Arabidopsis thaliana: one gene and its partners. The protein of the gene in region 3 purifies or fractionates together with the protein of the main gene of each other region. This does not show direct contact. Each region holds a gene or a part of one and is shown on either strand. Other genes may lie near its edges. The genes, in order: AT1G32730, AT1G06790, MAA3 and AT3G49000.

The links.
Region 1: the proteins of MAA3 (region 3) and AT1G32730 fractionate together in Arabidopsis thaliana (co-fractionation; one large-scale study listed by BioGRID). This does not show direct contact.
Region 2: the proteins of MAA3 (region 3) and AT1G06790 fractionate together in Arabidopsis thaliana (co-fractionation; one large-scale study listed by BioGRID). This does not show direct contact.
Region 4: the proteins of MAA3 (region 3) and AT3G49000 fractionate together in Arabidopsis thaliana (co-fractionation; one large-scale study listed by BioGRID). This does not show direct contact.

What each region holds. Positions count from the first base shown.
Region 1 is NC_003070.9:11,839,369-11,843,815, forward strand, and holds AT1G32730 (electron carrier/iron ion-binding protein), read left to right. Parts: upstream 1-1,541; 5' UTR 1,542-1,708; coding exon 1,709-1,830; intron 1,831-2,123; coding exon 2,124-2,185; intron 2,186-2,468; coding exon 2,469-2,556; intron 2,557-2,774; coding exon 2,775-2,877; intron 2,878-2,979; coding exon 2,980-3,588; 3' UTR 3,589-3,940; downstream 3,941-4,447.
Region 2 is NC_003070.9:2,085,546-2,089,978, reverse strand, and holds AT1G06790 (RNA polymerase Rpb7 N-terminal domain-containing protein), read right to left. Parts: upstream 2,798-4,433; 5' UTR 2,615-2,797; intron 2,337-2,614; 5' UTR 2,335-2,336; coding exon 2,224-2,334; intron 2,121-2,223; coding exon 2,025-2,120; intron 1,678-2,024; coding exon 1,590-1,677; intron 1,419-1,589; coding exon 1,334-1,418; intron 1,214-1,333; coding exon 1,144-1,213; intron 1,060-1,143; coding exon 970-1,059; coding exon of another isoform or gene 940-969; exon of another isoform or gene 767-939; coding exon 692-766; 3' UTR 532-691; downstream 1-531. Other genes in the region: PLA-I{gamma}1 (alpha/beta-Hydrolases superfamily protein), read left to right, coding at 192-441; GAUT6 (galacturonosyltransferase 6), read right to left, coding at 3,126-3,401, 3,742-4,263, 4,397-4,433.
Region 3 is NC_003075.7:8,891,078-8,898,637, forward strand, and holds the start of MAA3 (P-loop containing nucleoside triphosphate hydrolases superfamily protein), read left to right. Parts: upstream 1-1,529; 5' UTR 1,530-1,589; intron 1,590-1,894; exon of another isoform or gene 1,895-1,917; 5' UTR 1,918-1,965; coding exon 1,966-2,073; intron 2,074-2,164; coding exon 2,165-2,309; exon of another isoform or gene 2,310-2,516; coding exon 2,517-2,650; intron 2,651-2,783; coding exon 2,784-3,005; intron 3,006-3,277; coding exon 3,278-3,469; intron 3,470-3,561; coding exon 3,562-3,597; intron 3,598-3,990; coding exon 3,991-4,076; intron 4,077-4,185; coding exon 4,186-4,236; intron 4,237-4,479; coding exon 4,480-4,591; intron 4,592-4,690; coding exon 4,691-4,796; intron 4,797-4,876; coding exon 4,877-4,974; intron 4,975-5,212; coding exon 5,213-5,314; intron 5,315-5,405; coding exon 5,406-5,498; intron 5,499-5,848; coding exon 5,849-5,902; intron 5,903-6,180; coding exon 6,181-6,239; intron 6,240-6,345; coding exon 6,346-6,430; intron 6,431-6,617; coding exon 6,618-6,989; intron 6,990-7,163; coding exon 7,164-7,286; and 3 more. Other genes in the region: AT4G15563 (F-box-like protein), read left to right, coding at 673-921, 996-1,271. UniProt on the Arabidopsis thaliana protein: Probable helicase that may regulate RNA molecules involved in nucleolar organization and pollen tube guidance.
Region 4 is NC_003074.8:18,160,607-18,166,507, forward strand, and holds AT3G49000 (RNA polymerase III subunit RPC82 family protein), read left to right. Parts: upstream 1-1,953; 5' UTR 1,954-2,296; coding exon 2,297-2,368; intron 2,369-2,442; coding exon 2,443-2,596; intron 2,597-2,688; coding exon 2,689-2,801; intron 2,802-2,906; coding exon 2,907-2,979; intron 2,980-3,144; coding exon 3,145-3,296; intron 3,297-3,438; coding exon 3,439-3,579; intron 3,580-3,681; coding exon 3,682-3,774; intron 3,775-3,898; coding exon 3,899-4,010; intron 4,011-4,168; coding exon 4,169-4,327; intron 4,328-4,405; coding exon 4,406-4,443; intron 4,444-4,513; coding exon 4,514-4,606; intron 4,607-4,691; coding exon 4,692-4,775; intron 4,776-4,868; coding exon 4,869-5,021; intron 5,022-5,105; coding exon 5,106-5,240; 3' UTR 5,241-5,380; downstream 5,381-5,901. Other genes in the region: AAE3 (AMP-dependent synthetase and ligase family protein), read right to left, coding at 1-291, 485-688.

The DNA of each region.
Region 1 (4,447 bases), on a different chromosome or scaffold from region 3:
TATTATTACATATAAATAATTTTGGAAGACTTTGAGTTTTAAGATCTTTCTTTTGTTAAACCAGATTTGAAAAGAGCTTTATATTATCTTTGATAAAACTAATGAAAATGTTGGTCTAAATTAACTATTTGAACTTGAACCTTTTAATTTTTATCTTTTAGAATTTTAGTTTATTTATTTAATATTGATATTTTGGACTTGTATTGTTTAAATCATTTTTTCTTTAATATAGTTTTATGTTAATGTTATATATATATATATAATGTTATATATATGTATAAATGTGTATACGTTTCCAAAACGTTTCCAATCCCTAATTTTAAGAAAAAATCGTTTCCCGTTTCCGAAACGTTTCGTATCCGCATTTCCGTTTCCGTTTTCATGCAACATAGATTATGCGAATGATTGCAATTTACAAGTAACAACTTGAGAGATGTACGTTCACTATGTCGCGAAGAATTGGTGAGGAAATCTTTCGTAATATTTTGTTATCCAATGGTATTTATCTCGATTGTAATCGTTAAATCATGAATGGATGGTTAAATATTTACCAAATAAATAAAAAGAAGAAGAATAATTAAAATTTATATATTGGTGAGCAAATATTATTATTCCGATTAAATTATACTTTTTAATTGTTGTTTTGTAAAATTGTTCAGTTCTGTTTTGTTTTGTAGTCTCTATTATCATCAGAGTTGTTTAGTTTGATCGTCGTGTGGACTCTTGACAGTCCTCATAGTCTACTAAATCTAAAACCAATGATAAATCAACTAATTAATTAAATAATCATGTCTATAAAGTATAAACTATATTTTTATGTGTTAACCCATCCAAATCTGCAAGTCCATACAAATTGACTCTAAATATATTGAAGCTGCAAAATCAGCCAAGTACAAAATTGACTCTAAGTATATTGAAGCTGCAAAATCAGCCAAGGTTACGCAATATAATCATATAGCGATCGATGCATCAGAATAATAAGTTAGAAAGCGATATCAATTGCAAAATAGTATAGAGTAGTATAAAAATATGAAAACACTCTGAAGTTGAATGCACCAAAATCTAAATGCATTGTTTTGTCTGCCAAATTGACTTCTATCTAGAAGCTTCTAGTGTGAAGCTCTGATACCACTTGTAACGTCCAAATCAAAGCTTCGAGTTACAAGTCAATTAGTAGAATGATTTATTGTTTTTGTTTCTTTTACTTATGAAAAGACTCTAAAGCAAAGCGAAGGAAGAGATGAGGAAGAAAAAGATTTGCCCAAACGGCAAACACTAAATTATTTAGATTGATGTTCTATTGTTCATATGAACAATAACGTCTATATATATGTGAATCTGATTCGATAGAATAACCTAATTACTTGGGCTTTTTTTGGGCTTATATTGATTTATCTGACAAGTCTGATCCCGGATAAAGTTCATGATTTGGTTAAGTTCGGTTCAATTTAAAGAGAAATTATATTGGGCTTTAAAACCCAGGCCCATATAAAAACGACTCACGTGGTATTATTAATAACCGGAGCCCTAGACCCGCCGTGAAATCGAGCGATTGAGAGCACTTCGCAAAATCAGAGCGACAAAAAAAAATAAAAACCAATCCTTTCGATTCCAAATTTTTTGTTACTCACTCGCACGAGTTTTATTTGGTCGTTAGTTATCTCTTTCGTTGAATAACGGTTTTAATTTAAACCGTTACTTTTTATCAATGGCGACTTCGTCACCGTCTCTGAGTAACAATGGTCTTTCCTCCGTCGTCACGCCTCCCAAAACTCTCCGTGGTCTCAATAAGCCTAAGTGTATTCAATGCGGCAATGTAGCTCGCTCCAGGTATTGCTTCTACGCATTGTTTCATCGAAGGACTTAGGTTTTTTACATCTGGGGTTTCGATTTATGGATTGTTCTTGGGTTTTTGATCTGAAAGGATTCGAATTTGTCTTGTATAGTACTTTTTCGTTTTGATTTAGGGTTCATAGGTTTGTGGGTTTGGGTTTTTATTCATGATTTGGTGATTAATCTGTTGGAGATTGTTTAAAGTTTTGAGCTTTAGTATCGAAAGATCAGTTTTTTGAGATTATTGGTGAAGTAATTGTAATTGTATTGCTTGGATTTGATAAATGCAGGTGCCCTTTTCAATCTTGTAAGGGTTGTTGTTCAAGAGCAGAGAATCCCTGCCCGATTCACGGTATGTTTGCCCTGTCAAATCTCAACTTCATAATTAGCTAAAGTGATCAGTTTTAGAGTTTAGTGTTGATAACTTTGATTGGAGAGTTCTATTCTTTCACTTGGTAAGTTTAGAGTTTAGTATTCTTGACTTCTATAGGGTTCGTTTGGTTGTCTCGGGACAAAAAAACCTATAAAGAACCATAAGACTGATTCTTGGAATGTGCTTGTGATTAGCTGAGAGATATAGAGATGTTATCATGGACTGTTTTGTGTTTCTTCTTATGTGTTTTATTTCGCTGCAGTTCTTAAAGTAGCTTCAACGTCTGGTGAGAAGACGCAGGCGCCAAGTACTCCATCTTCAGAGCAGAAAGCAACCGAGGGCACTCCCGGGTACATATATATAAACTAATTTTCTGTTTTGTTTGTGCTTCCATGGGCAAGTGAATCTTAGATGATAAACCGGTGTTTGCTTACTAATACTTTGATAGGAGATTCTTCAGCTTTCTTGTTTTATTGCACGTAGTTGATAGTGAGATGATATATTGGTCTTGTGGAACTAAAATATGGCGCTTTATGTTGACGTTTTCTTCTTTTGGAAATTGTTTCAGGAGTACCACTAGAGTTTCGTCAATCCGGCAACTTTCTAGCAACTTTGCTCAGTTTAATAACCTGAATGCTTCTTCCCGCCAGAGAAAACCTTTGACGATAAAGGTATACTAATTAAGACGTCTTTCATTGACTTTAGTACTCTATGAAAAATCTCCATTTAGTTGTTTTCCTCTTATCAGTTTTTGTTCTGTCTATATTCTATAGGATGCTCAAGCTTTAAACGAGTGGCGGTTTACAAAGCTAAAAGAGTACAGAGACAGAAACATTGAAGTAGAAAATGAAGCTTTTGATCGGTACATGAGTAATGTGAATTTACTCGAAGAAGCATTTTCATTTACATCTGTTCCTGATGAAGAGAGTCATGGAACAGCAGCTCCTGAGCAAAACAAAGAGGAAAATATTGTTTCAGAGCTTAAACTGAGGCTGAGATCGAACTCTGCAAGAACAGAGAGCTTTAAGAAGCGGATCGCGGAGACAGTCAAAGCCGGTTTGGTGAAGCTTAAGAGACTGGATTTAGGCAGTTCTTCAGATGATCAAGATGATATCAAAAGGCGGGTCAAAAGAAAGAAATGGGAAGAGAAAGGTTCAGCTTTGAATGAAATAATCGATAAACTGAACAAAGCAAGAACCGAAGAGGATCTCAAATCTTGCTTAGAGATGAAATCAAAGCTCTGTGGTCAAGTTTCTCCCACTGCTGCTTCCGAGAAGAACAAGATCTTTCCGGGTGTAGTCCGAAAAGTTGAGATGAGTGAAGAAGCACTTCAAAAAATCGCTGAGAATCTCCAATCTTTTGACAAAGTTGGAATGTTGTGAAGTCGAGAACATCCTGTGGATGAACTGAAAAGTTTGAGTGGCAAGAAAATTTCTAGATCCTTCGTGACCACGGTATTGTACAATGATCAAACATCCCTCAAAACTGATCCTGAAGACTCCAAAGACTCAAGAGATTCTTGTAAAGTAGTGTTGAGCATCATTTAGATATTAGAACTCAGCCATGGATAAAGCTGTTGATTCTATCTCATTGGATTTTTTTCACTGTGTGTTGTTGCTTTGTTAGATTTGAAATTGCTCATTGGATTACCTTTGACTTAATAAATAGTTGGTTTGGTTTGGTATTGGATAACCGCTCAGTCTAATTAGACCGGTTTGTTTTTTTGGAAAAAAATGAATCCATCCATCCATAGGCCACTTTCAACACGTATATTTGAAAACGACTAAAACCAAACTCTTAGATTCTAGTTTTGTTTTGCTGCCCCAATTCCACTATTGATCAAAACATATCCAAAAGTTTTTGTGGAACTAAAAAGTAAAAATAACGTTTAGTTTGTTTCCAATTTCAACCATATATATCTTATTCATATATGCATGTTGTGGTTGTCTCGTGTGTGTAGTATTCATTTACATTATGCAAACCAACTGGAAACATGTTGAATGGGTTATGGGTTGGTGGTTGGGACTTGAGGATCAAACAACTCAAATGAGCTCATTATAAGTTAAGCTCTCAATAATCATTAATTTATTTTTGTTACCACCTAATATTTCTACGAAGGGTTGGTGTAACAATTTTTAATTGTAAGATAATTGTGTAATCATTTTCAATATTAATTTTTATTATGTATTTATTTTAAAAAGTTATATAATACGTAACACATTTAGTACTTGGTTTTGGTAG
Region 2 (4,433 bases), on a different chromosome or scaffold from region 3:
TGCCTCATCAAATGCCGAATGGAGAATAATGGGGTCATTTAGTAATCTGATTTACGTGGCACTTCTTTCTTTCATGGGTAGGTTGGAGAGAATTTAATTATCGAAAACTACTAGGAAATAAATTTGTCGTTTAGAGCATAATAGTATTAGTATGAGTTGATGAATCTGGATTATTGTTTAAAAAAACATAGGTATCATGGGAAAGGACAGAGATTTGTGTTATCAAGTGGGAGAGATCCAGCGTTAGTGAACAAAGCATCTGATTTTTTGAAAGACCATTTCATGGTCCCTCCTTATTGGCGCCAAGACGCAAACAAAGGGATGGTGAGGAACACTGACGGCCGTTGGATTCAACCTGATCGCATCCGTGCAGATGATCAACATGCTCCTGACATACATCAACTCCTCACCCAACTCCATCATCCATCACAACTCTTGTAATTTATCGATTTTTTTTTGGTTTTTAATCTTCCTAATTTGTGTCATTGCCTTTTTACATTACAGATAAACAAAATTGAACGTCCCTATCTTAGTGAAAACCCGTGCATAGTTTAAAATAAATTTTAAGTTTTCATCAAAACTGGCTTGATCATCATCTGTTAAAATTTCATCTGACAATGCCTAGACTAAGTCTCGGTCTCTCACCCTTCTTGATCAACCTGTTCATAAGAATCCCACCTGTTTCGGTCACTCACTCTTCTTGATCAACCTGTTCATAAGAATCCCACCAAGAAACAGGACCCAAACCATCATCATCCATATTCCCCTGCGCAGTACACAAGATTGATTGACCACTGGACCGACGTAGGAAAACCAAAACAAAAAATCATGGTGTCTCAAAATAAAAGTTAAGTATCTATAAGAGAGGAGGGAATCAGGAGGCTTATCTGACCTTACTTAACTAGCGTTGTTTATAATGCATATACAAGTGGAAAAGTTTCAGAGAATGAGTTTGATGAATGAACTTACAGTGACCACCATTGGAGCAAAAGGCTTTGCGTCCTCTGCTCGCTCAGTTGGAACTGATGGATAGCTGATGCTCTCTACTCGAAACTTGATCTGCCATTTACAATGCCTCGTTATAAAAACATACCACATTCAGATAATTATGCTTAAAGATACATGCAGGAACCAAAAATTCACCTGACAGGCATCGTCAACAATATAGTCTTCTTTCGGTTCTCCATATTCCCACACCCATATCATTTGCTTCCTGTGAACCAAAAAACATTATACTTTGTGATCAAATGATATATAAAGATGTTGGTGCAATCTCCTACTCATAGTTGGAGAGCTGGTAGTACTACATAAACTGCAGGACACATATTCTTACCTATTATAAGGGTCAGGCTCACAGCGGTTGGGTTTCGGCATAAGTGGAGCAGGCACATAAATATCGTCAAAGAATCCAAGTGTTACTGCCAAGTATAGAGGTACCGTAAGCATGTAAATGATTAACCATATCCATGATTTCAAAGTATTAATCCAATTCATAAGTAGCTAATAAGCTAACAATGTACTAGAGTAGCAGGATGCAGACAGTGCACAACATTGGAATTCTTCAGGGAACAGTATAATAAAGTACTCACAGCGCAAGCCATTGGCGTCAGATTCTTTGAACTTTGCAGCTATGACCTCACCAACAAATGGACGGAACACAACAATTCTAAGACCTACCTACAATCACACAAACAAAGTATTAACAACACGACATGAGATATTGAATCAAGGCAAGATAAAACTTTTGAAAATAAAATTCTTAACCAAAACCGTACAGTGAAAGTTAGACTAACAGATAACGATTCCGAAGAACCAAAATCTCAGAATGGTTTGAAACTCTAGTACGGTAATGATGAGTCTACAAAGATGTAACTCAATACAGTGCAGAAAGTGTGCAATACACGGTGATAGGTCAACAATGATGCCACTAACAGTGACATTGGGAGGCCATAAAATTGATATAAAAAACCATGTTCAACTGATAAAAGAATAGAGATGAGAAAAGATCAGCAATTTGGATATACCTTATAGGTCGCAGCACCATCACCGGGTAACACAAACCCTCCTTCTACTGATTTAATGTCGTAAATAGATACACAAAGCCCCAAATCAGCTAAAACCTTTCATAGCAAAAATCCACTTTGATAAAATTAGCCAGGTGTGTATATAAATAAGCAAACAATGGATACCATAAAAGTGAAAGAAAAAGGGCAATGAGCAAACCTTGTCCAAGAACACATTTTGAAGCACTGACTTAATGGCATCTTCGAGAGGGAGATTAAGTAGATGCGGAGGCACTCTTAGTGAATGTTCTAGCTCGCTAAGATAAAACATTTCTGAAAATTTTGTTCAAAATTCACAAGTCAGATGCATGGAAAATTGGAAACAAACAATCAAAGAAGTAGAATTCGAATAACGAATCAGACAAATTCGGAGCATTCTTGGTCATTAACATGCATATCATCAAAAGTTCCAAAATTCAAATCTAAAATTCATTAAATCATAGTACGTAATAATAGCCCAATCCTCAAGATTAAGCATGTGCAGAGCGTACAAAAATCTGCCATTGTCATAACTATACGAGAGAACAAAACTATCTAAAATCGGGCAATACCTAAACCATTGAAGATAAGATGGTCTCGAAGGGAACTCGGAGAGATGGTGATGAAGACAACGATTAGACGGAAAAGTGAGAAGTTGGGAATAGATTGGAAGAAGAGAGAACCTACTAATCGAGTGAGGAAGATGCGGAAGAAGAAGAACGATTTAGGGTTTAGTTATTAAAGTCAAGAATTAAAACAAACCGATCGGTTTGTCATCGTTACGCTTATAAACCGAACCGAACTGAAAACCGCACTCTTTTTATTCATACCGGTGGGCCAAAAAAGGAAATTGGGCCAAGTCCAAGGTATGACAACAATCTGTTGCTGTCAGCCTGTCACTATAGTCTAAGTAATATTAAGCTCTGATGAAAAGTGTGAAAAAAGAAGAACCAAGATATACACTGATGTGGGATAAAGAATGAAGCTAATCATAACATTGATATCATGCTTGAGTAGCTTGTTTAACAAAAAGAATCTGAAACTGAACCTAAGTTGCCAGATTTTTTTTTTTTTTTTTTCGTATCAAGCTTGAAGATTGCACTGTTGCAAGTAGGTGTGATGGTAAGGGACGTGTATGTTCCAGTAACGTTTGTAATTCTCTTTTCCAATGTCCAACCACGGCTTCATGACCCCATCGTAGTGTATAACTGCCGCTTGTTCGATGTCAACCGCTTTGACTCCTGATTCGCGACCTAACCCCATCACATGCCATCTCTTGTCCAATGCTAATGTTTGCCTATAGAAAGTCAACCAACCTATTGGTAAGCTCCCAGCTTTCCACAATGGTCTCTTTGTTCCCTGCCAAAAAAACAAATTCCCCAAAACCATTGTTAGGTTTACGCCCATTACATAGACAAGATATGTTGTTGCTTGTAACCATTCTTCTTCTAGGAGATGATCTTTAGCACTAGCTTGCTTATGTTCTTTGCTAGTTACAGCAATGTTATTTGTGTTCTAAATTCAAAACCTTTCATCCTCGATATAGCCAACCTAAAACCTAATAATTATTACAATCTTTTTCATATATAATGACGAATCAACAAATCTAAGAACCCATTTGAAAACTTTGAATATGGCTACAGTGTTATTTCCATAGGGAGAGCAAGTGCAGTAGAGTGTGTGTGTGTATATAGCGTACCAGGTTGAAGTATTTTATGTATGTAGAAGTCAACTTCCGTATTCTCCATTCTTCGAGATCAATTAGATTCATCCCGAAAGCCCATGTGCAAGCTCTAGGACTAAATTTCCCAGCGACCCATGTGTCTGAGAAATTAATAAATGTGCTCATTGATCGAAATGAAGATTCACCTTCAAGACAAGTCTCTACAGCTCCAACCACCTTTCCTTTCATATCAATGCTCCACAGTCTACTTAAATCTCTTTGAACAACTACATCATGGTCCAAGAGTACCATCTTGTTCAAACCCGGGAATATATCCGGGAGATAGAAGCGTGCGTGATTGAGTGTAGAAATGAATCTTGGGTCATTAGAGTTTTGCTTCATCAGTAATTGATCATAATCTCTAGGCAGGACATCCATATCATCAATGTTTAGGATTTGGATAGTAGCTTTACTTTGAATGTTTAGCAGAAACCACATTGAGATTGCTGGGTAATTAAGTGAATCAGTCACGACATGGAAGACTATTCTTTCTGGCTCCTGCAAACAGCAATCAGAAGCCACATTAATAAGTGGCGGAAGTAAATGAGAAGATATAGTGTAAGACACTCTAAAATTAGGTATAACATATAATGATAACCAAGTAGAAATTTGTATAAGAAATGCATGATACCTTTGATGAAGATATCGTAGAGTTAACAACGACTGAA
Region 3 (7,560 bases):
GGTGATTGATCTTTGTGCATTAAGTAGCTGTTCTACGTTTTGGAGAGAGTTATGTGGTTCTGATATCTTATGGGAACCTCTGTTTAGGCAAAGATGGCCTTTATTGTCCTCATTTGAATCTGATGGAGACAATACTCTGTTTCTTTAAACCCAAACCAATGAAAATTCTCAGGTAGAAATGAGACAGTTCCATGGATTCTTGTTTCTTTCAAATTCAAGTTTCTGAGTTGTTTTAGATTTTGGCCATTTTTGTAGGATAGTGAGTTTGTTTGTTGTTGAATTGAATTCTATTTATGATGAATTGGTTCTCATTAGATGGATGATGTTTGATTGACATGGTAGAGAACAATTGTTTAGTTGAGATATTTAACAATTGTTCTGTCTTGGAGAAACAAATTACTGAGGCATATTGAAGGTGATGTGATTCTTGATATTATCTGCTTTAATTGTGGATAGTTGGATTATAGAAAGCTTGAGACTTTTTTCTTGAAGAGGTGATAGTTGGAATTGGACATGGTCATCATAATCGTTTATATATCTCAACTTGCAGTTAGACTTTGCTTGTTTATAATTTGTTGTTGTGGCAGAGACTAAAATTCTTTGTTGTTGCGTTAGCATTACTTTGAGGTCTATTACAGGTTTCATGAATAGTCTATTTTAAAGCTTTTGTAGGAATGGAGAAGATTTTATGTGATGCAACACAAGGAAATGGCATCAAGAGCTTCCGAGGTGATTAAATATGTGACTAAGTCTCCTGCTACGTTGTCTTTAGAGGCAGGTATATATCTGCACGCGGTTGAAACCATGAGCTCGATGCGGTTTGGATTTCAAGATGTGGAGTTATTTTTCTTCAAACCAAACTTAAGTGTGCTGCTCAACCTCATTGGACTCATTTACTGCATACAACACTTGAAACCGCGGGTTAGTTACTCCCAGAGAAAGTCGACCGGCCTTTCGGAACATTTTCTAACTTCTTTAACATTTTCTTTCTGCAGCGAGAGCAAGTCGTGGATGTGCTAAGGCAATGTGGAATCTCAGAGCAGCTAGTTTGGGTGAAATGGTTAACGTTAGGTCGATGGTCAGGTGGGAGTCGAATGAGAGACGACATCGTGTCGCGTCAGGTCTCTCTAGTCGATGTTGTAACAGGGAAAGAAGAAACGGTTCTACGAGTGCTTCAACGAGGAGTTGTTCACGAAGTTCTACGTGTTTGTATCTCAACCGTTGATCTTGCCTGTGCACCTTGCAGCAGTAGCACCATCAGAAACTACTAAACTGTTTCAAGGATTCGAGGATTACAAGTTGAATTGGATTCAATGAATGTGATTAAACATGTGATATTGAAACAGTATTGAAGTTCGAGTAAATAATAACAACGCGCAATTCAAATGCAAACGATTGTATGGAGAATTAACTGTAAGAAATTCGCGGTAAAAAAACTGAAATTATAGGATTCATATATTGGGCCTTAGTATATTTTCGGCCCATTACCAAAATTATCTTAAACAAGTTTGAGTCCTAAACCCTTTTCTCCGGTTACAGCTACACCGCCGTTTTCTCTCTCCGCCGTCTTTTCTCTTCTTCTCCGACTGGTAAAAATCCTCTCTCCAGAACTCTGGTCTCCCGTTATATATATATGCTCGTCTACATTCTCCAATTGCTTCTCGAGTTCTTAGCTCATATCAGTCACATGTTGTTCTCTGTAAATTCAATTCCCTAATTTCAATTTGAAATTTTCTCTGTTGGTGAAAAGGCTCTGCTATTTGATTAGGTTGATGCATAGTAATTCGATTTCGAAACTCTGCTTTTAATTCCATAGACTATATAATGGAAAAGATGATGATAACAAGTTACTTGACTGATGATTATACAATCACATTATGCTTATGCTAAAGTTTTTTTTTTTGTATGTTCATGTAGAATCTGTGAAGGTGAATTTCGGAGTTGAGAAAGAGAGATTAGCGTGTAATGGCGATCGATAATGGCAAGCTTCAAGAAGAAGAAGCCTCATCTGTTACTCGATTCTATAACATTATTTTGGGTTGGGACTATAAACAGCTTACTAAAGAGAATGAGGTACTTCATCATCATACAACAAACTCCGTTTCTTCTTAGGCGAATGTGAGATTTGTTTTTCTTTTATCTTACTGTGTATTATGTAATGCAGAGGAAAAATAGAAAGGATTCTAAAGAGAAATTGAATGTTGTAAAGAATACTTATAAAGATGTTGATGATTATTTCGAGACTTTTGAACCATTGCTCTTCGAGGAAGTTAAAGCTCAAATTTTGCAGAATAAAGATGGTGAAGAAGGTTAGATACATAGAACTTAAATACAATTGGCTTTTTTCTTATTACTTTTGTCCATCCATTGATCATGAAAGAAAGTGGCAGTTGTTATTTTCAGCTATTAAAACTAAATTTGTATACTTGTAGTAAGGTTTTATGTTTAGATAACTAGTTTTTAACGTATTTGGTTCTGGTTGTGGAAATGGTTTTTTCTGTCTTTTTTCCTCTTAGCATCGGTGTGTAAAATGAGATTGGTAATGGAGTGCAACGAGGGCGAAGGGTTTCACTTTCTGTTAGTCACATACGAACATGAGGAGGATGAATATCTTGCTCAAAATGATCTTTTATTGCTATCAAAAGAAGAGGTACATATACTATTCCTTTGTTTTTGTTTGATTTTCCGAGGGTGTTGTATGACTTGCATTTCTGATTTTGTACTTTCTTGTATAAAATTTTCATTATCGAATGTTGGATTCACTTAGAGATTAACTTTTGCAGGTTAAAGGGAATTCATTTCCTTCATCTTATGGGTTTGCTGTAGTGGAACATCGTCAAAATAATCTTCTTCGTCTTCGGATGTATTTAGCTGAAGACATTGTGCAGATAACCAAGAATACTAAATCCTCTAGAACAAAGTCATTTATCCAAGCGCTTTCAAATATGCGTTCTCTTATTACATCATCTGCCAGCCCTATTGACAAAAGGGTATTCAGTTTAAAGGTCAGTTGTTATGAGACACAGCAACTATGTATAGTTATTATATCATTTGTTTTTTTCCATAAATTGGATGATAAGCCTTAATAATGTGGTCTAGTTTTAGGTTGTGTTATGCTAGCTTGGCTTCTCTTTTCTCTTTCTTTTATACTTTAATACTAGTTAGAATCTTAATGAACTTAAGCGACTGTTGTTGACATGATACATATCCTTTCTAGATATAATATAGTTCCCTTCTCTGATACAGCGTCTTTCATGGATGGTTTGTTAATTTGTAGTTATGTGGTTTATCAACCATTATTCGGGAATATATAGCACTACGATCAGTTAGTTCGCTCCCTTTCAAGGATTTAATCTTCACTGCAGCAGAAAAATCTTGTGGTTTTGGAGATGAAGCATGGAAAATATCTGGACCTCTGAATGAATTCTTTAACGAAAACCTTAACAAATCCCAAAAGGAGGCAATTGATGTAAGTCTAGCCTTGTAAATTCTTTCCTTAGAGACTTTGACAGTTTCCCTAACACAGATTTGGGCTCTTTGTTTCAAAATACAATTTTGCAGGTTGGTCTATCAAGAAAATCCTTCGTCTTAATACAGGTTGACTTCTCCACTTATAATTGTTTTATTGTTTCTTGAGGACTTATTACTTAGCTTTTACATGTTAAGATTGCATGTCAAAAACACAATCATTTTCAATGAGAAAGCCCTCAATTGACATGAAATTAAAATTCTCCAGCATGCTTACTGAGCTAGCACTCAAAGTCTTATATTTGACTCTCAAGATTGCCTTTTAAAAATATGCAGATGAAAACCAAAATTATTCTAAGTTGGCATTTTTTAGATCTTGTTGACTACATGAATATGAGAAACTTCTTTGTCAAACTGTATTGGCAGTCAATAGGGATATAACAGACTTGTTTTTCAAATTGCATTGAAAAGCAGATGAATTAATCTAATGATTTGGATACTAATGAGTCTATCCTTCTTTAGGGTCCTCCAGGTACCGGGAAAACTCAGACGATTCTTAGCATACTTGGTGCTATTATGCATGCTACTCCCGCAAGAGTCCAGTCTAAGTATGATTTCTTACATGCTATCCTTTGACACTCACTTGACTATGTGCAGCTCCGAGTTAAGATTATAACTATGCTTTGCATTCTGAAATTCCCTTTTTATTTATAATAGGGGTACAGATCATGAAGTAAAGCGTGGTATTCAGATGACTATCCAGGAAAAGTATGATTTTGCTCCCATTAAGATCTTTTAAATATTTCGATACTCAGTTCTCTCGCATACCCAGATGTGTGTTCATAATGATTCGAAAATGTTATTATTATCTATATCATATGGTGTTTTATTTGAAATCTTGCAACTTAAGAGTAATTGGAATAATATTGCATTGCATCAATAGTTTGGTCTGAAATATCACATACCATACATCCCTCTTGTTGAACATATTTCACTATGTCTTGTCTGCAGATACAATCACTGGGGAAGAGCCTCTCCTTGGATTTTGGGTGTCAACCCTCGAGATGCTATTATGCCTGAAGATGGTGACGATGGGTTCTTTCCAACCTCAGGAAATGAATTGGTAAGTCGGAAGATTTTATTCTGAGACAAATGGTAACCCCACATTTATTTCTTTTATCATATAGTAACCCCACTTTTCTGATTCTCTTTTGATGTTCAGAAACCGGAGGTGGTTAATGCGAGTCGGAAGTACAGATTACGTGTACTTGTCTGTGCTCCATCAAACTCTGCACTTGATGAGATTGTGTTGCGGCTTCTGAGTTCGGGTATGTGGTTAATCCAATTCATTATTTCATTATTTGAAAATTGGTAATGGTCTTATATGTTATGGTTTCTGCACTCTCAGGTCTTCGTGACGAAAACGCCCAGACATATACACCCAAAATAGTACGAATTGGTCTCAAGGCTCATCACTCTGTTGCGTCAGTATCACTGGATCACCTTGTATGTATCTAGTTTCCTTTACAGTTTGATTGCCTTTCGTCCTGGCTTAATTTTGGTTGCTTGATTTAACTTTATTAAAGAATGTTCAACTGGGAATCTATCTGTCTTCAGATAAGTAAAGGTCTGTTTAAGTATATTCATTCGGAGGAATCACACTTGTAGAGAACAAACAACGAAATAACAAAGTTTGTTGACAAATCTTGCCTTTGGGTACTGTTCTGACAACACTCTTTTGCAGGTGGCACAAAAGCGTGGCTCTGCCATCGATAAGCCAAAACAAGGGACTACAGGAACTGATATAGATAGTATCCGCACTGCAATTTTGGAAGAGGCTGCGATTGTATGGGGATTTAACTTTCGTATTAATGTAATTCAAAGCTTTTTTATTTTTCTTCCCTGAATCACCTACTTCTGTTTCTTTGCACTTTCAGGTGTTCGCTACCCTTAGCTTCAGTGGCTCTGCACTTCTTGCTAAATCTAACCGTGGTTTCGATGTCGTTATAATAGATGAAGCTGCGCAAGCTGTAAGCCCCTTCCAATAGAATATGGACTAATGCTCGATTTTTTTTGCTTAGTTTACACACTCTAAATGTCAGAGGGTTTTACTTTAAAGTGGAAATAATAATGCTTTGTTTTTTAAAAACTTTCTCATGGCATGTCATTACATTAAATTGAGTCATGTGTTAGCCCTGACCTATGTTGAAGTGTAAAGAAAATTTTAATCCTGGTTCGTCCTAGTCAGAGTCTGTCATGTATCTTATAAGTAATTGTTTTTGCTACGCAACTTAAAAAGCTTATGCAGGTAGAGAAATTTTTAATGCTTATATTCCCCATGTTCATTGCTAATGAAATTTACTCTTGTGTACTTTGCCAGGTTGAGCCAGCAACTCTTATCCCTTTGGCCACTAGGTGCAAACAAGTATTTCTGGTAAGATCCAATAGGTTACCCTTCATGTATCAAAATTGCAGTTAGTTTCCGGGTACATAAAATAAGTAGATGATTCGACACACACCATCAGTAGCTTCAAAGAATGAAGCATGCCTTACTTTTTTTGAAATTGAAGAATATAGATGTTAAAATAGTTGCATCTTGAAACTGTAGATGTTACAGGCAAGCGCAACACCATAAGTTTATGAGTTAATGATTAATGTTAAAGGCAACTTTGGTAGCTATGGATATCCTTATGTAAAATCTAATTTTATCAGGTAGGGGATCCAAAGCAACTCCCAGCTACTGTAATCTCAACTGTTGCTCAGGATTCTGGGTAAGTGCTTTAATCCAGTCATTGCATCCACACTTTATCTGTTTATGTCTCTCGTGTATATTGTATTGACACTATTGGATTGCTGTCTTTACTTTCTATAATGAAGGTACGGTACAAGCATGTTCGAGAGACTTCAAAAGGCTGGCTATCCAGTAAAAATGTTGAAGACCCAATACCGGATGCATCCAGAGGTACGGACATTCTTTCATCTAGCATCCACCTAAGACAGATTCTCACTGAATATCAGATTTCTTAAAGAATTATCATCAGTTGATACCTATTTCACAAACCAAGCCAAAGATTGTAGTTAGCTTAATTCTTACTCCAATGATTGCATCTTATTTTACCCTGCAAACAATTTTTTTAACTGAAAATCAGATAAGAAGCTTTCCGTCAAAGCAATTCTATGAAGGGGCACTAGAAGATGGATCTGACATTGAAGCTCAGACTACTCGTGACTGGCATAAATACCGGTGCTTTGGTCCATTTTGCTTTTTTGATATACATGAAGGGAAAGAGTCTCAACATCCAGGAGCAACTGGTTCTCGGGTAAATCTAGACGAGGTGGAATTTGTTCTTCTCATCTACCACAGACTTGTAACCATGTACCCGGAGCTGAAGTCTAGTTCTCAGCTAGCTATTATATCACCGTATAACTACCAAGTAAAAACTTTCAAAGATCGGTTTAAGGAGATGTTTGGTACAGAGGCAGAAAAAGTGGTTGATATCAACACTGTTGATGGGTTCCAGGTCAATATTCTACCCTCTTTCTCACAGTTCAACATCAATTGTGCTCATAAACAAATTAAAATGCATTAGATTCTGCTTTTATACTAATCTAAGAACTTGAACCGTAGAATTGTACTTACAGTCCAAAGTTTTCATCCATTTCTTTTTCGTTTTTTTCCTCATCTTGATGAAAAGGGAAGGGAGAAGGATGTTGCAATATTTTCATGCGTCAGAGCTAACGAAAATGGACAAATCGGTTTTCTCTCTAATTCTCGGCGGATGAATGTGGGGATTACACGAGCCAAGTCTTCAGTATTGGTAAGGCATATAAAGAAAACTTTCATAGAAACGATTCTCTAACTTTTTCTCCATATATTTATATACCCTCTCTCTGATTCTATCTCACTGATCCATTATCCATTGAAACTTGCTTATCAGGTCGTTGGTTCAGCTGCAACATTGAAGAGCGATCCACTTTGGAAAAACCTTATCGAAAGTGCTGAGCAAAGAAACCGATTATTCAAGGTAAAAATAACCTTTCTTTCCGTTTGTGTTAAAAGTGTCAACTGCTGCAACATACTGGGATCAAGAA
Region 4 (5,901 bases), on a different chromosome or scaffold from region 3:
AGCACCGTCGTCCGGGTGATTAACGAGTTCCGTCGCTGAGTCAACGACGGAATCTGAATCCGCAACGGATAGTACAAGGTCCGAGCCAGCGTCAAGCAGCGTAGCGGTGACGTGAGAGATTTTCAGCTTTGAAGCTGCTTCTTGAGCCGGTGCGTTTCCTTCTTTAGAGGTTAACAATAGCTTTGAATCTGAATCGGAGAGGTAAAACTCAAATTCCTCCGCCGTGTACGCTGCGTTCAACGGCGCCGCCGTGGCTCTAGCTCTTATCACCGCTAAAAACATTATAACAAACTGAAAACAAAAAAAAAAAATCAAAACCAAATTCATCCAAAAAAATCATCTGAATCCGGAAATCAAAATTTCTCAATTAAGAAGCGATTTACAGATATTCATAAATTCTGCTTCCCATGTGATTCTTCAGCACGCAAAACAAAACCAGAAACGAAGCTTTTAAATCGAAATATATGAAAACCTCTTAAAATACCTCGACGGTGTTAGGGAAGGTGAGAGCAACGACATCGCCGGGTTTGATTCCAGCGTCGGAGACAAGGCGTGAAGCGGCGCGTTCGATTAGATCGTGAAGACGCGCGTGAGTGAGATTGAATTTTCCAGAAACGGAGAGAGCTCGGCGATCGGGGAATTTTTTGGCGACGTTTTCCAATAATCCTGAGAGAGTATCGCTATCCATGGTTACGTCGGAGAGATAAACACGAGAGTAACGATGATGAGGAAGGAGAGAATGTGAAAGCAGAGAAGAGAGCAAATGCGATATTTATAAATTTATATTCAATTACTACAGTATCTGTGGAAGCAAAAAATGGCTAAAAGATGATGCCACGTGTTATCATCGTAGCGGATTTTCTATTGATCGTGTGGTCATAATGTTTTCATTTTTAATTATTTTGTTAACGGTGGGAGTCGCTGATATATATCCTTACGATTAGACCGACGTTTCGGTTTTTGAAGAGGTGGTTTTTTTAATTTCGATTCCGGTACAAACACTGAACCGAAACGGCTAGTTAATTAACTTTTGAAAATATTTTTTTTCGGCAAGCATGCGATAGTAATTTACGGTTTATGAATTATTTCATAGGAATTTGAAATAGTTTGTGTATGTATTATCAAACAAAAGAATAGTTTCATTAAAAAAATAGCCTATGAGTGTTTAATCACTTTTAGGGCCTTTGCACATGTGTCTTTGACTAGGATTATCACGTTTCGAAGATGCTTGACGTTGTTTATACTTTATATTATAAATAGAAGATAACGTCCTTATTTTGATTGTTAATAAATTAAATTGACCAAGGTAAAAATGTAAAATTAAAATAAGAAATGGTAAAAATGACTTTGAATGATAAGAATAAATATATTATTTATAGAAAAAAAGTAGAAGACTAAATATAATGAGACATATATCTTTTTGAAGTAATCAATTTTGTTTTGTCTATACATACAAATTATTATATTATTTTATTTGGTTTGATACATGCACACTATCTAACTAAACAATAGTGGATTTGGATAATTATTCAACAATGAAACTAATTTAAACCACTAAACATGCGTAGCTTAGAAGAGAGTCAGAGTAGAATTTACTAATCAAAGATTTAGTTTACCTTGTTATTTGTTAAAGATTAAAATTATGTATATGATTATGAATAGAAATACAAAAATCTCGTATAGATGAAAACGACAGTGTTTTAAAATATAAGTCATATTCATGAAGCTGAAAAAGTCATTTTCCATTCTCCTAACTAAGTAAAAACATGGTCTTCATGTAAGCCGTCACATACAAATACAATAGAAGAATTTGGTTTGTGTTTGTTCTTCTTAAGTAGAGCATTGTCATCTGGCCCAATCATTGAAAATTCTCAAGTACATTTCGTTCCATCACTAATTTTTTTTCTTGGGTCAAACCATACATTCAATTTATTAGGGCCTGATAGGCCCAAACTTCTCTAGGCCAACAATTAATAACCTACAATTAGGGATGTTAAAATGGGCTAAATATTTAAGGCCGGCCCGAGTCCTTATAAAAAACAAAAGCCCTAGCCCTGGGTTGGTGTTTTCTTATACTTATATTGGTGGGTTCATGTTAGATTATCGAAATTTTGGATTCGAACGTGTGGATCGCTGGAAAAATTAAACTTTAGGGTCGCTAGATTACGATTGCTTCGCTTTTTAGTAGTAGTAGGCTACAATCGATTGGCAAACATCTCTATATCGGCCATAACTCCGTCAAGCTCTGCAGAGGCTGCTTCATCAGTATTGAGAGACTTCCTGGTGATTGATTCTCATGTCTATGTCTGAGTTTGGCATTGTCTACGCCATCCATATCATCACCGTCCAATTCGGCTCCGTCGTCTCGGTAAATTGAGAAACCCTTCTGAGACTTGTGTTGAATTTATAATCTCTGTATAACGAATTTGGTTTTGGTTGCAGAAAGTTTGTGAATGTCTTCTACGTAAAGGACCTCTTTCCTCACGAGACATCTCTCGTTTAGCTGAATCAGATATCAACCATAACAAAGTTAAAGATATTCTCTATCTCTTGATTCAGCACAATTGTGTTCAAGCTTTCTCCATTGAACCTCCTGGTTAGTCTCTATATTGTTTGATTAGTAGCAACACACAGAAATAGAGAACTCAATGAAAGTAATTTTGTATGTTTTTTTTTTTTACTTTGTAGATGGTTCTGAGAGCAAAGCTATTGTACAGTATATTGTGTTGTTTAACAACATTCTGCATCGTGTGAGGTATAACAAGTTTTCGAGGATTGTAAACGAAGAACTTGACTCCAAGGTTTAATCGTGCTTCTTCTTCTCTCTGTTCAGTGTTTTGATTAGTTGGTTTATGCTTCAAGACTCTAATGCTAATCTTATACTTTTGTTTGATTTATATGTTTAGTGCGGTGCAGTTCTTGATGGTTTACTTAGTAACGGTAGGCTTACCTTGGGACAGTTTATTGAAAGAGATAGAGGTGAGTCGTGATATCATATGTACCTCTTATGTTATGTTACCACAGTTTACACTCGTCATCGTAGGCATTGGCTTTTGGCCTTTGTGTATCTCGTTTTGATTACAGTAATGCTTCGAGCGGAATGGATTCCATGCTGTTATATATGTTTTCTTCATACATGATCAGATTCAGGAAATACGATAGGTTCTGAAGCAATCAGAGATTCTCTTCAGAAATTGGTTGCTGCCCGTTTTGTTGAGCGCATTCCTTCTCCCGAACCTGTTCTTGGAAACAAAGAAAAAGAGCCGGCAAAGAGAAGAGGCGCTAAAGCTGCCAAGGTAATTGATAATTTCTTTCTGGTGTTTGGTATACCTATACATGGTCTGATATATCAGACCTACAAATTGCAGAGACATGACTCTCAGTTTTGATATTATTTCTATTCTGTTCGATATTAATAAATCTCTTGGAACGGTGTAGATTCTTAAAGAACCAGAAACCTTGGAGGAACAAGTTGTTGAAGCAGCAACTCCAGTTGACGCAATAAGGTTTCCACTTATATTCGAAGAAGATTCCAATTCATCTTTAGCAGATGACAATAGCAACATCACTGAGGGGAAGGTATCAACATTCGTACCATAACCAATCTTGTAATCATACATTTTTCAATGATGTAGCTCTGAATACCTTTGTTGATGTTTCTCATTGAACCGAATATTTTAGCGTAAACAACGTGATGTGGACACATCAGATTCGAGCAGTGGAGTAATTTGGCGTCCTAATTTTGAGGAGTTCATCCACCGCCTTAGACATAAGGTTAGTTATCCGTGTTTCTCTTTTGAGGTTGTTTGATGAGGAAAAAAGCTCATTGGCATTTCAAATTTTGCTTTCCGAATGTCTTACTGTTCCAATCTATTAACCACTTGTTTCTTTGTTTAAGGCGTGTGTGGAGATAGTGAAAGAGCGCCGGGATGAAGGATGTGCCATTGTCTTGAGGGCAATGTTAGAAGTAGGAAGATCGCAAGAGAAGAAGGTGAAAACAGACAATTCGGGTAATATTTGAGTTTCTCACTCATTTTCATTCAATATCTTAACATAATCATAATATGCTGAAGTTAAAATTGTATTTGGTGTGAATTATTTTGCACTCTCCACCAAAAGTCCACCTATGAAGTTCTGTTAACTGAATTTGCTATAATCTTTGAAACAGCTCCAATGTCAGTTGGTTCCATTTATGAAGAAGTTATTAAGACAGAAGCAGGTCGCACTATGTTACAAGAGCGAGTTGAAGCATGCCTTGACCAATTGAGTGCTACGTCTTCTTATCTACCAGCATTTGTGAACGAAGTGAATGATTCATACATAGTTGGTATAGTAACTCCATTCAAAATCTAGTCAAATGATTCTTGTATTCAAAATAATATTATTTTGTTATTTGGTTTTGCAGATTATAAATCCATTATCAGCGTAGCACAGAAAGATGAGGTGCGTTTCATATTTTTCTTTTCTTGATATATTTCTGAAACTAAAAACGGTATCTTTGAGATGTTTCCAGATAGAGGCAGTAGTGATGAGAAGATATGGGAAAGAAGCTTTCAGAATGTTCAGATACTTATCACAGGAAGGGCGTTTTGTTGAGACCGATAAGGTTAATGACTGTTCTTTATGATTCATATAGAAACATCTTAAGTCATAATGATTTCTTAACTTCATCATTTTTTTCTCTCTGTAAGATTGCTGATGCCGCGCTGACTGAAAAGAAAGATACACCGCAATTCCTTTTAAAGATGTGGAAAGACGGATACTTACATATGCAGGTATTCACAGTTTGGAAACCAAATCATTATCAAAAGTAAAACGAATTGGTTGTTACGAGATTCATTGTTGTTATCTTCTGTTCATTTTTGTAGAAATTGGCGGTCACAGCTCCGGGTATGTATACACCGTTTCTGTTGTGGAAGGTAAACAAGTTGATTGTGACAACTCAAATGTTGGATGAGATGTACCATGCGTCCCTTAACTTGAGTCTTAGGTTGGCCCATGAGTTAGAAGCCGAAAAAGAGGTTAGTCACACTGCAAATCGATTAACCCAAATGTGTTTCAAGATGGTCCAGATACTAAAAAAACTGTTATTGCTTTTGTGGCAGTTGCTGTTGTTGCCATTAGATAAACTGGAAGGACCATTAAAGGAGAGACTGAAAAAGGTCAAAGCCAAGAGGCTGTTACTCTCTTCCACTATGTTTAAACTTGATGATGCCATTATGCTTTTTCATGACTTTTAAACTCATACATTCAAAAACTAATTTCTTTTGGTCGATTTAGTTCACATTGTCTTCTAGCATTTTTTTTTTTTTTTTTGACATAATGAGAAGTTGTAACTTTGAAGGTAATTGATACTGTTTCGAGAGAAATGTTGTTTATTATATACTTCAGATTAAGTTTTCAAACTCTTAATCTCTATCAGAAAACCTTCTTTTCCTTTACTATGGTCTATGGCTGATGAGCTTTGGGATGAATTGCAAAATCGGGTTTTGGTGATACAGAGTCTAATGAAGCCTAATAGTCGTCCAAGTCTGAGTTTGAAAAAAAAAAAAAAAAAAAAAAAAAAAAAAAAAAGAGTCGTTTAAGTCTGATTGCCTGACCTCTCAATCCTTCAGTGCAACAGCTTCAGACAGTTCATGGAAAAGTGTTCTCTTCTATCTGTCCAAAGGAGAGATCGATGGGTTTTCAATAATCCGGAAGATATGAAATAATATTGATGTAAACATCATAGACATGTTGAGAACTCTCAATCTCAGAATTCTGACATCTCTTTCCCAACCTCCCCTGCCTGATACTCCTCCACTCAACTATGAGCAAATAGCAGTTGGCTACTCCCCTTCAATATGTTCAATCTTCTATACAAAGGTTTCTTTACTCAGGTTGCTGCACCAATCCCACAAG